Oreochromis niloticus: one gene and its partner. The protein of the gene in region 2 purifies or fractionates together with the protein of the main gene of each other region. This does not show direct contact. Links are inferred from orthologs where the notes say so. Each region holds a gene or a part of one and is shown on either strand. Other genes may lie near its edges.

The links.
Region 1: the proteins of nop58 (region 2) and NHP2-like protein 1 fractionate together in Homo sapiens (co-fractionation; 3 studies listed by BioGRID and IntAct, with this or other methods). This does not show direct contact. The link is inferred for Oreochromis niloticus from reciprocal best matches to the Homo sapiens genes NOP58 and SNU13.

Annotation. Positions count from the first base shown.
Region 1 is NC_031973.2:20,520,601-20,526,658, reverse strand, and holds NHP2-like protein 1, read right to left. Parts: upstream 2,000-6,058; 5' UTR 1,772-1,999; coding exon 1,769-1,771; intron 1,590-1,768; coding exon 1,469-1,589; intron 994-1,468; coding exon 731-993; 3' UTR 523-730; downstream 1-522. Other genes in the region: uqcrc2b (cytochrome b-c1 complex subunit 2, mitochondrial), read left to right, coding at 2,740-2,772, 3,823-3,924, 4,143-4,292, 4,602-4,666, 4,767-4,823, 5,071-5,195, 5,460-5,557, 5,649-5,706 and 2 more.
Region 2 is NC_031986.2:729,528-736,669, forward strand, and holds the start of nop58 (nucleolar protein 58), read left to right. Parts: upstream 1-4,138; 5' UTR 4,139-4,301; coding exon 4,302-4,346; intron 4,347-4,796; coding exon 4,797-4,873; intron 4,874-4,983; coding exon 4,984-5,036; intron 5,037-5,243; coding exon 5,244-5,368; intron 5,369-5,448; coding exon 5,449-5,585; intron 5,586-5,773; coding exon 5,774-5,838; intron 5,839-6,104; coding exon 6,105-6,239; intron 6,240-6,549; coding exon 6,550-6,695; intron 6,696-6,855; coding exon 6,856-6,982; intron 6,983-7,029; exon of another isoform or gene 7,030-7,113; intron 7,114-7,142. Other genes in the region: FMR1-interacting protein NUFIP1, read right to left, coding at 294-815, 941-1,176, 1,353-1,472, 1,642-1,811, 1,964-2,056, 2,186-2,262, 2,342-2,404, 2,502-2,603 and 2 more. UniProt on the Homo sapiens protein: Required for the biogenesis of box C/D snoRNAs such as U3, U8 and U14 snoRNAs. Part of the small subunit (SSU) processome, first precursor of the small eukaryotic ribosomal subunit.

The DNA.
Region 1 (6,058 bases), on a different chromosome or scaffold from region 2:
AGTGTAAGAACGTGTTTTATACAGTACTGTACAAAGGTTTTGAGCCAGAAAAAACAAAAACACATGCAAACATATACAGAATTACAGCATATACAGCAAAAACAGTTTGTTAGGTCAGTGTTTGGTATGACCACATTTATTCTTTCAAGGATAGTTTGCCTGTCATTTCTTTAAGTAGTCTTCGAGAATAGTTCTCAAGGCTGCTTGACTTCTGCCATACTGAAGACAGTTTGAACCAAACATTTCAAAGTCATCACTAAATATGACCGGTTTGCCACTGATTTCCAGCCCAGTGCTTCTGTAACCTTCTGTAACCTGGATTCAGTGAAGAATAGATGCATCAATCAGGTCTCTCAAGGACATGATTTTCAGATAGTGCTCATTTGCTATTTTTTTTAAGCCTGACACACATCAGACCATGCAAAGATATGCCCAGTTTTCTGTTACTAACCATTTGGGAATCACTTTGTTTGAACTCATCTTGAAAAAAAAGAAAAAAGAAAAAATGAAAACAAGACCAGGTTTTAAGAAATAACAAAAAGAATTATTTTATTAATAAGTGAGCAGGGCTACTACAAACTCCTGATGAGAAACATCAGTCCCCAAAAAGCAAGAAACAAAACAAAAACAATTAAACATGATTTTTCCCCCTCATGTTTAATCAAACAAAGGACGGGACTATTTAAAACGGTTTTTTCCCCTCAAGGAGTTTTTGTCAGTGAAAGAAAAATCACACAAGCAGTCTCTCAATGGCCATTTGAACAGACTGGATCTGTGGCTTGAGCTGAGACCCCTCTTTTATAGTGACTGAGGTAGCGATAACGGGGCGCGACACCCCACAGGCCCGGCCCAAGGCCTGCTTGGAGCGGACAAACACGTAGGGGACATTCTTGTCCTCGCACAGCAGCGGCAGGTGGAGGATGATCTCCAGTGGTTCCGCATCGGCAGCCATCACGATAAACTCAGCGATGCCTCTGTTCAGGGTTTTAGTGGCTGGGGAAGAAAGAGAACACCTTAAATACAGCAAGTTTGTTCTTGGAAACACAAAAACAATGCTCAGCATATTACAGGTTACACAAAAAAGTGCCCTTCATTACTGCAGCACCGTTATTCTTGATGTGGCCCAAAACAAAAATACAAGTGTCTGTTTAACACATTTTTCACAAGCACTTAGTAATTCATATAATAAATACACTCGACATTGACTAATCATTAGCCTCCACAGGAAGACACAGCTATGGTGTAAGTTAACAATTATCTGTATAAACAATACTAAAAGTTATTTTCCTTCTCGCAGACATCCCATTCATGCAGAAATCAGAGGCTTGTGACTAAAGCTAGTTGTTTTAAGTGAAGAGAAACCACGTTTCAAACATGCTGGTGTCACCTGGCCACTCAAATCCGTTCATTAACAAATTAAATATTCATTTGCACCGACTGTGTCGCACGGCACGTTGTGTTTACCCACCTTCGTTGGCTCCCTTCCTCAGTTGCTTGTAGTTTGAGGCTTGCTGCACCAGATCCAGGATAGTTTTGGTCAGCGTGGCGTCGGCCAGCGGGTAGGCCTTTGGGTTCACTTGTGCTTCAGTCTGTTCACCACACAGAAACAAAGTAACTCCATGTTAGCCAAGAGAAACCAGTTAACGAAAAAAAAAAAGTCACCAGCACTGTTTCTGGTCACTTCTACTGAATTCTACACTTAATTTACTATGCTCGATGGTAGCTAGCTAGCTACTCTGTTAGCTTGTTCGTTTGAGAAGACACTCACCATGGTGTTTTTGTGCTATTCCGGCCCTCTCGGCGAAATGCTTCACGGAGGACTATTTTAATTCGACTGGCTTCTGAAAGATTGACGACACGATGCAAGATGCGATAACCTGTGATGTATTTTATAGCGGTACAACTCTCTAAGCTCCGTCGCATGCAACGACTCCAAACGTTTGCCACACGTGTGGTGTGAGGCGCATGCGCACTGGCAACGCTGGCGAAATCACAGGAAATGCTTTGGGAGAAAAAAATTGTTAATAAATGTGAAAATACAACGAAACAAGTCACTTTCATTTTTTTTACCAAATAAAAGACGACCTGGAAAGGGGTGACATTTTTTTTTATTGAAAAACAAATACGTTTTAAAATAAATACACGGAAATTATTTATTTTCCCTTCACCTGCTCCCTTCAGAGTTCAGCACATCTGCCCTGTGCCAAAATAGTTTAACCTGGCAGCATTCTTTTCTTTCACAGCAACCCTCCGCGTGTGCTTCTTCACTACATCCATGAACATCCTCTGTGGTTTTCATTTTATCCTCCTGCCTGGCAGCTCCATATTCAACATCCTTTTACATCATTTCAGCATCCCCTATCCCTCCTGTGCGCATGTGCAAACCATCTCTAAACACATTCCTTGTCATTTACATACCGATATTACATACACCTCTTTGTATTTATAATAATATTCATATCAGTGCATTTCATAACTTCGGTGCAAACCATCCAGCTGGCTCTGTCTGGTCCAATGAAAAAATATTTTATTTTATTTTATTTTATTTTATTTTATTTTATTTTATTTTATTTTATTTTATTTTATTATTTTCTCTCATCTCCAGGGCAGCAGAGGGCGCGCGGTCACTGGCTAGGCAGACGCACCGTTTACAAGCGAAGAAAGCGCTGAGGATTCTGGGTAGGGCACTTTGAAGCCAGCCATATTGCTTCATCGTCCTGACCCAAGGCAAGAGGGGCGATGAAGGGGATTCGGGGAATCAGTCAGCTATCGGTGAGGACTCGGGCAATGTGTCCTACGTGTCTGTGTGTCGGAACATTTGTACACCGAGTTGTGGGCTGTGTTTGTTAGACGGTGTCTAAATTCCGGGTCGTGTCCGGGCAGGCTGTGATGAGGAGCAGACGAGGAAGCAGTCAGCTAGGTCTTGTCATGAATGACTCCGAGCATAACCAGCAATAACCTGCTAGTTACATCACGAACACCGCGGATTTTAAGTCGTTGTACACCCAGCTTAATACTGTCTATTCCGTTAATTCAAGTAAGGCTTAGAGAAATCAAACTAGTTGACGTCTGAGCGATGAGAGCTAGCTAGGTTCGTGTTTATGAAGGACCTAGCCGTCGAGTTGCTTAACTTACATTTCCATTTTACTATCTAATTATATCTTCCCCTTTCTTATCTGCAATATTGTGCAATTATTGCAGTTTGGATTTAGCAGTAAACATCAATACTTATGTGTGTTTACTGAGTGAGAACCCTGGCAGCCTGAAATGGTAGATTGTAGCTAGTTTTAAAAAGATGTTCTTACTTTTTCACATTTGTCGTTAAAGGGTAGTAATGTTGTTTGGCATCATTCTGTTGGAAGACACCAAGACCCATATAGAGGTTGTTATTACACTTCAGAGTACATTACAATCTTACAAATCCTTGATACTTTCAAAGATAATTTGGAAAAATTGACCTGCAGATTTAAACCTGGTGATATGCTTAAACAAAATGCAGAACAGAGACTTAAGTGGGCCTTGTCATAAGATTATTTTTTCACCTGTATAATTCTAGCTTCATATTTAGTCACAACATTCAGTTCTTTTAGTACAGGCTGCCCTACTAATGCCATTGATCCCATTATTTTAAAGTTCGTGCTCATATCAGCCAACAGGCCAGCAAAACATTAGTTGTAATGTCCTGCCTTCCTGTGTTCTTTGTTTTTCTTTTCCCCAGACAAGGTTTTATGCAGCCCAGGCTGCCCGTAAGGTGGAGGTCACTGGGTTTCATCCACAGGATGTTCAGGTCAGTGGTTATTGACTTCTTTTTCTTCTCTGCAGAAACGCTTCTATGCGGCTGCCAGAAAAGACCAGTCCCTTGCTCAGCCCCTGGCTGGCCTCAGCCTCTCTCCCAGAGTTGGCCATTCCTACCAGGATGTCCACGTATGTCGGGCAGTGATGAGAATTGTAGTATATATTGGTTATGTTTTAAGCTTTATCTGTTTTTTTTCACCTTGCTGAATATAAAATATTAAGTAATCTAACTAAATGCCCACATTGTCTGAGCTGTATAAATAAAAGCCAAGGAAACCAGTTAACTGAATCACTGCCTATAACTCAGGGTACTAACAACGCTAAAGGACATCTCTATATGTCTCCAGGTGACCAGGCTGCCCAGCGGGCTGGTGATCGCTTCACTGGAGAACTATTCTCCAGCCTCCAAAATTGGAGTCTTCATCAAGGCTGGCTGTCGCTATGAAACCCCTGAAAACCAGGGCGTCACCCACCTCCTCCGGCTGGCCTCCGGTCTGGTATGTAACTTAAAAAAAAATAATAATAACATTTAACTTGAAGTAAGCATTGTCCTCATCAACCTTGGTCCTTTGGTGTTGTTGAAAGACAGAAATGAGTAAAGCTGCAGATGCACCAGAATACAAACCAAATCTTTATTCAGTTTTAGGCAAAAATCTTATTTTGATTAGAAATATAACAGTGTTTACATATTAAAAAGCCTGCACAACTGTTGTTAATAAATGGAGCTTAAGATCACTACTTTTGTAACGGTGTGTAACATTGCCGCATTTCAGTCGACATGTTACTTAACTTTTCTGCCTTTTCAGACAACCAAGGGAGCTTCAGCTTTCAAGATATGCCGTGGTATTGAGGCAGTGGGAGGCAGTCTAAGGTCAGTAACTTAGCCAAAAACAAATAAAAGGTTTTTCTTGTAAACAGTCATTTAATTATTTTTAGGTGTCTAATTTGCATATCTGTGTATTCCTGTGCAGCGTGACTTCATCCAGAGAGAATATGACCTACACCGTCGACTGCTTAAGAGATGACGTGTGAGTCTCTGCATGTCACCTTTGTGTGTGATGAGTGTGTTGATGATTGAGCAATAATAATAATAACGTAATGAAAATGTTTAAAGTACTAGGAGATACTTAAAGAACTTTGTCTCTTTCTGTTTACACACTTTTCCATATTTTGGTGAAATGACTACATTCACTGGAACATATGAATGCTCTGAGATGTGATGTTGCAGGAGTGATAACTTTCTTTTCCCCCCCTTCCTCTATTATTGGTCTCTAGTGACACAGTGATGGAGTATTTGATCAATGTGACAACAGCCCCCGAATTCCGTCCGTGGGAGGTGTCAGACCTCACCCCAAAAGTAAAGGTGGACAAGGCACAAGCTGCACAGAGCGCCCAGATAGGTGGGCCCTTTGTTTCTCTTACAACACTCAGTTTTTTTGAAAGATTTTTAAGGGATCTGTTGTTTTATTATAGAACTACTTAATTCATATTCCCACCTTTGAGCCTGATTAATATTTTAAAAAGCTTCTGGGTTGTTCGATTAATCAATAATTAGCCTGTAGAGCCTAGATACCAAACTGTCATATAGGGACAGTAATGTTCTCTCTGTTTTTTCTTCACCATGAGTGCGTTGCAGCTAACAGTCACCCATCCATCTTTTTTAGGTGTGGTTGAAGGTCTGCATGAAGCTGCCTACAAGAACGCCCTGTGTAACTCCTTGTACTGCCCAGACCACATGATCAACAACATCCACTCTGAGCATGTGAGTATATATTTCTGTTTGTATATTATGAGTACAAAACATACAAACTAAAACAATTATGAATTATTGCAATGTTTGCATTTTTCTCCAGCTGCACCAGTTTGTCCAGAACAATTTCACCAGTGCAAGAATGGCCCTTGTTGGACTTGGTAAGTGTTAGGGTTTAAAGTATTTTCCATATAAAGAAAGAAGTAGCCAGATTTCTGATAAACGATAACAATGCTTACCTTTCTACTAGGCGTTGACCACACTGTGCTGAAGCAAGTGGGAGAGCAGTTCCTCAACATCCGCAGTGGAGCCGGCACCACGGGGGCTAAGGCACAGTATCGTGGAGGTGAGGCGAGCTGGCTGAGAGGGGGAAGGAAAAGAAAAAATAAAGGATTTAAGCAAATTTTGAATGAATGATTCCAACCTGAGAAATTGATCGACCTTGCAGACTTCCCTGTCTCATGACCTCGTGCCTCTTTCCAGGTGAGATTCGCCTGCCCAGCACCAGCAGTC
Region 2 (7,142 bases):
CTAACACACTAACACTAACACTACTAGTCAACACTAACACACTTTCCAGCCGTGGTGCGAATTTACTGCAAGTCAAACACTAGGTATATTTTCTGTCGTGGTAGTGTGAATGTACTTTACCGCACATTTCAGTTCACTCCCTTTATTGATAGTCAAACACTGAAAAGATAAAGATTCAGAATTCATCACTACACATCACGTGATTTATTTTACAAGACAGTCTGTCTTTACATAATAAACTCATATCAAAAAAATAAAAAATAAAAAAAATAAGACCGACTATTTTGGGTCTTTCACACTTGAACACTGGGGCTCTCCCATATTTCATCATCATACATATTTGAGATACATGTGATCCCATCCATCGAGGACAAATCAGGATGGTTTACATCGCTGGCAGTTGTCTCCTCAGTATTTGGGATGAAATCACCTGTACAATCACCAACACTTCCTAAAGACTCCACAGTAGGTTCATTAGGTCCTCGTGTAGACCCTTGGTGATTCAGTATACAAGGAGCTTGCTTAACTGCAGAAACTTCACCAGTAACTAAAACCTCCGTACTGCCAACATCCAGGACTGCTGAATGTCCCTCACTACTAATCGAGGCGGCAAACAGGGACGCAGCTTGGATTTTCTGTGAAGACTCTTCCCATCTTCCTTCATGCTCTCCATTTGTAACAGATGTTGTGCCCTTGTTTCCAGTTTTCTCCTGGTTGTGACATCTGCTCTCCAGCCCAAAGAAGTGGTTTCTGACAATGTAGCGTACACACTGCAGGAGGACATTCCTCTCGTGTCGGATATCTGGGGCCAGTAACTAAACAAAGAGACAAACAAGAGTTGGACTAAACATCTAAATAGTATAGCTTTAAACAGCGTGTCCTTTTTTACTAAATCAAAATCATATAAATACACATGCATAGTGTCAAATGACTTCCATACCATTTCAAGCAAAGTGGGGCGATGTAACTGTGGTAGTCTTCCTCTTCCCGCTCTTCCTCCTTTGCTGTTGGGCATGTGAAGCCTGGAATCTGTCTGAACCATTTTCTGTCTCTCTGCATTCTGTAAAAAAGCCTCTCTACCCCTGGCAGGTGCCCTCTTCTGAGGGTTGGGTGGTATTAAGTTTAGAAGGTCCTGGTTCTCTTGCACCAGCTCCTTACCTGTCTGAATGGGTGTGGCTAAAACGCAAAGGCAGGTGTTAGTCAGTCTCTCTCTCTCTCTCTCTCTCTCTCTCTCTCTCTCTCTCTCGTAAATTAACAACAAAATAAAAACAATTCAACAAGACAGAATCATTAGGATTTTTCTTGCATGGTGAAGATTTTGGACTTTTATCCAGCAAACACTATGTGCTCACCTGGTTCCTCATCACTTTCACTCATGGATCCGTAGTTTGCTACTAGGGAGCCCAGAGCTGAGCTCATCTTCTTAGGGGCCACAACCAAGCCACTGGTCCTGGACTCCTCTCTGTCAGAATCTTTGAGCCAATGAAAAACAGAGCACAATATATCACTATCACTATATAGGGGTGTCTGTGTATTTCAATCAAAGAATAACCAGAGGATAACCAGTGAAAGCTTTTTGATCTTGTCCTCTATGTAGGTGATTGTGCACAGCCTTGATTGAACTTTAATCAATTAACTCACCATGGTCACTAGTGGCTAGTGCTCCGAGTGGATCCCCGTCCCTGCATGGGTGGGTGAGTGGTTTAGGCTTCTCTGTAACACTGCAGTCCGATGAGTGTGGCCGTCTCAGATGTCGCCCTTGGAATCCTCTGTTTTTCCAACCACGACCTCTGCCTCTTCCTCTCATTCGTCTGAAAATAAATACATCATTGCTTATGCAAGTTAACTTTTTGGTAGGACAGACTTCATTTCAAATTTTAAAAAAAAAATGTATATCAAAATAGAAAATAAAAGACATGCACACCAAAATCCATAATTTATACATTCAAATGTAAACATTTACCCAAACTGAGCTGTTTCCAGGACAGCTCCCGTTTCCTCCCGCACCTCCAGGACTTTTTTCTTCTTCTCAATATTCACAAGTGTTGGATAGTTTCTAGTAAACCAGTAAAGACAAATTACTGACTGGACATGGGCAGTATGCACAGGTGGATCAACTAATGGCAAAATTGCATCAAAAGTTCATGACTGCCACAGTTTCTAAAATCTCTTTGCAAACACTAACTTGCGCCTTTCCTCTCTCCATTTAGTAATCTCCTCCGGTGTGTCCAGTTTGATTCGTTTAGTTCCTGGCACATGGTTCTGTCAACACAGAGCACTCACATTAGAAAAAGGAAACTACTACAAGCTTAATCTCTTTACATCATCTTCTTCCACTTACATTTTTCCAGTGTATGCTGACAAGTTTTTCATGGGCCATGAAGCTGCAGTCAGCCACAGAACACTAAAAGTGGATTCAATTGGAGCTCTCAGTAAAAAGTAAAGAATATCAATGTGAACAACACTAATATATATCTAGTAAGTAGCCTAGAGTGAAATACCTTGACATGCTGAGAGACATGCTCATTGTACTTTTCCTGGTTTTTGAAGCCCCGGTCGCAGGTGTCACAAAAATGGGAATACTCTGGTTCTTTCCTGTTTTTCTGCAAGGGGTGAAAAGCTCAAAGTTCCCAACAACGTTCCATTCACTTTCAATATAAATACAAAGTTCTCAGACTCGTCACCTTTTTTCCATGATGGCTGGGAGCTCGGTAGCTTTGATGTCCACCTCGATGCCATTCATGACTAAAGTTTTGACCTGAAAACACGCAAAAAATTCAAGCACACCTTTCTTTAAAAAAAAAAAAGACACATGGACATGTCCTTTATGGCGACTAAAGGCGCACTGCATGTATCTTAAACTACACAGCTGCTATCAAAGTTATTGTGGGGATGTGATTTTGTTTTTAGTTTATCTTTCCGGGTTTTCCACGGATGTATTCGTTGTGTCACTAGTTGGCTTTTATGAAACTAATTCAAGTGTTTTAACACGAAACAACCCACTGACGTCACTTGCTGCATTCACACAAGATGGCGCTCCACATGCTATAAAGCTTTAAATACTTATTCCTTAACTGCAGCATAATAGTGTTAAATCTATGACTTTTTTGTTAGAGCAGAACCCCATGGTGTAAGTCAGTCTTTACATTATGTGGTCCTTCATGTCCACTTTAGGGCGACAGTAACATGAAGGAACCCATCTTCAACAGAGAAACGACTGTACATTCCACTCACCGTATGTATGTGTAGGTCCGTGGTTTCCACGGTTTGATGAGAACCCATAACTTGCCGCTGACCCGTGGTGCCTACCAACACTACTGTCGCAGCCCCAGCTGTGTTCGATAGGCGTTTCGCTCCAGCTCCACATGGTGGGATGGAAGCTACTCGAGTGCGACTGCTGCTGCTGGAACGACTGGAAGGAATTCGAAGGAGGAAAGCCAAAGTCGGGCGGAGGGTAGTTTGCCGACTCGTTCATACCGCCAGGCCAAAATCTTTCTTCACGCTGACGATGAAGATAGTTCTAAGAAAACTTCTCCCCAACGCGTTGCCCTCATAAGCGCATGTATTTACCTTGAGCAAACTATGGATTCGTCACTTCCGGAGAGAAGGAAGACCATAAACCAACACAGACGAAAACGAATAAATATACGTCTATACATACTTACGTTAAGTATTTTAATATGTATAAAAAGTTTTGTGGTAAAAAAAAAAAATATATATATATGTACTTGAGACTTAACTGCAATTTTGATTTTACCAGTAGTTGGCTAGAACTTCTCGCGAGGTTTAAATTAACAAATTCTCTTGGGTTGCCATTTTTGGTAAAAAGCCTCCTGGTAAATATTAGAAATGCACTGCATCGTCTAACTACCAACACAAGTCTGTAAGCGTCATAAGCCAAGTGGCCGCTCGCTCGGTTTTATTAACCCGAATGCTATGTGCCGTTTGCGTAATTAAACATATTTCAAAGTGTATTTTTTTCCACAATAGAAGCAGAAACATATTATAAGGTAAAGAAAACGTAAAAATACATTGGACAATACGGTGCATTAGATACACCGAGATCCACCCATCCGTAGAAACCTTTTCTTCCGCTTATTTATAAATAAACCCTAAATTGTCTTTTTAATGTTAAGCTCGGGGGATAGCGACCGACGTGAGCGAACCTGGCAACCCAGTAGTTTCCTGGTGCCCTGTCCACGCCGCGTGTGTTTCAGAGTGAGGGCAGCAGCGTGGTGATCGAGGTGGAAACGCGAAGGCTCCAGAGGTGTGCACAATAACTGCACTAAGGCGCTGCCAAAATGCTCGTGTTGTTTGAAACCGCAGCTGGATATGCAATATTCAAAGTAAGTATTCGACTATTGTTCGCGATCTTTTTAAAATGGGGGACTTTAACACGGGCTCTTTGCGTTAGCCCGGATTAGCCATCCAGCTAGTTCATTGAGTGTCGGTAGAAGGTGGCATAAACGTGTTATTTACGGTATGAAAAAAGCAATCTCTTCGTTGTACTTGCGGATATGGATTAAACTTTTATTTAAAGTTGTTTTGTTTGCGCACGAGCTTGCCTAAGTCATAAGCGAACATCAAGCTTGTACTGTGAAGGGCCTGCAACCACGTGTGCACACTGAGGTGGTGCTGACTCTACTTTTCAACTAAGTCCCATGCATTTTAGAATTGTAGATTGTTCAAATGCGTTTATCATCCATTAATTTTTTAAAGTTACATTTTTAACGATGTAAGCCAGCCCACTGCTTGACAGATTTCTTTTAACTAATGTCTGTGTATTGTGTTTTAAGGTCCTCAATGAATCCAAACTGCAGCAGGTCGACTGCCTGTATAAGGAGTTTGAAACTCCCGAAAAAGCCAATAAAATGTAAGTGCTGATGTTACATTTTACCACCTGACGACACATATAACCATGGACTTATTACGATAAATCGTAGATGGAATGTAACTTCCACGTTTTTCCTTTTGTCCTACCAGCGTTAAGCTGAAGCATTTTGAGAAGTTCCAGGACACAACAGAGGCCTTAGCAGGTAATGATAAATTTGAGCCCTAATGTTTACCTGAGATTTGTCTGTGATGCAAAGCTGTGTCTGATTAAACATGAGGTATTGCACAGTCCTCGTCACTACCACTGAGACCAATTCCTCCTCACACATATGAGAATTGACACTTTTTGTGTTTTGTGTAAGCGCTTAGCACAGCTAAGCTTTATTTTATTCTCTATTTCCACTTTTCAGCTGCGACTGCCCTTGTTGAGGGAAAACTTGGCAAGAGTCTGAAGAAGGTCCTGAAGAAAGTTGTTGCCAAGGAAGCTCATGAGCAGCTGGCTATTAGTGATGCAAAACTTGGTGGCGTTATCAAAGTAAGTCACTGATATTTCTGTCAGCCTGAAAGACAGCATTGTTATCGAACGTTGTGTTTCTAATGACTTCTGGTCTTCAGGAAAAACTGGACCTGAGCTGTGTCCACAGCCCTGCTGTGGCTGAACTGATGAGATGCATCAGGGGTCAGATGGAGAGCCTCATCACTGGACTTCCTCCCAGGGAGATGAGTGCTATGTCTTTAGGGTTGGCTCACAGGTTAGTGGTGCACAGATTATGTTATATGAATGCAGCTGCTGCCTATGATTACATTTGCTGTCTGAAATATTTGTGTAGATTTTTCTCAGCATTCGTCACTACCACTGAGGCAGCAACCCTCTGGCTTATTGAAAATCCCTTCATTAATCTAGAAATTTGAATTAACTCATGTTCTCATCTGGTTGCAGTTTATCCCGCTACAAGCTGAAGTTCAGTCCTGACAAGGTGGACACAATGATCGTGCAGGCTATTTGTGAGTGTTGTTTTACACAGTTATGTCTGTTGTTGTGCCTGTAACATGTCAGACAAGAAAACTCTTAGAACAATCAGCAGTCTAAATTATTTTCAGAATGTCCAAAAACCTTCAGTCTGTTATCATTGCAAACAAAGAAAACATCTAAATTTTTCTGTTTAGGATTATAAAAATTAATAAATTATAAATTATTGATATTTTTGCTCTAAAAATGATCATTTAAGCAGTTAACATCAGCTGTACTGTGTTTTCGTCCTTGCCTCTAGCTCTTCTGGATGACCTGGACAAAGAACTTAATAATTACATAATGCGTTGCAGAGAGTGGTATGGCTGGCATTTCCCTGAGCTCGGAAAAGTGATCACAGACAACTTAGCCTACTGCAAGAGTGTCCGCAAAATAGGTAAGGACCATCCTGCATTTGCACAACACAGTCAGAGAAGCAGAGGTCTAGATATCCTAAATAGTGTGAGTAAAGCCAGCAAAAACACAGCAATCCTACAATTTCCACATTCAAATTCATTAGCACTCTTTAATTTTAATCAAAGCCTCTTTCAGTCTTTAAGAATTTATGGTTTCCTGTCAGGCTGAGTAAACCAGAGTGCTCTGAGCTTGTTTAAAGTCAGCGTTTTGTTACTCTAAGACTCACCTACATTGGTTTAACTTCCATGTGGTGACATTCCAGAGTAACTGCCATATGTTTGTGTCTACAGGTGATCGCACAAATGTCGCTGGCTCTGATCTATCAGATATCCTCCCCGAGGAGATCGAGGTCGAGGTTAAATTGGCTGCTGAAATCTCCATGGGAACAGAAGTGTCAGAGGAGGACATTGGCAACATCAGGCACCTATGTGATCAGGTGTGTGTCCTCACTGTTTGCTACAGTGATTGTGATGGCGATCACTGTTGTCTGTTGCAAAAACAGGGTTTTCTATGCGTCTTTGCCTTTCGTGACTGGTACCCTGCATTCGTGAATTTGTTTTTGAATGTTCTCTTTATATATTTTTTTTCTCCCATAGGTGGTAGAGATTTCAGAATACCGGGCTCAGCTCTACGACTACCTGAAGAACAGAATGATGGCAATCGCTCCCAACCTCACTGTAATGGTGGGGGAGCTGGTTGGCGCCCGTCTCATCTCACATGCAGGTGAGTTTGGGTGGGGGAGGGCAAAAGTCAGGTAATTTGTGAAAACTGGCCTAGCAGTGATGATGATGACACTAAGTCACTTTCCTGAACATGACTGATGGTTTTAAGTCACTACCTCATCTGAGCTGGCAGTGAAAGCACTAGTAGTCAGGTCCTTGAA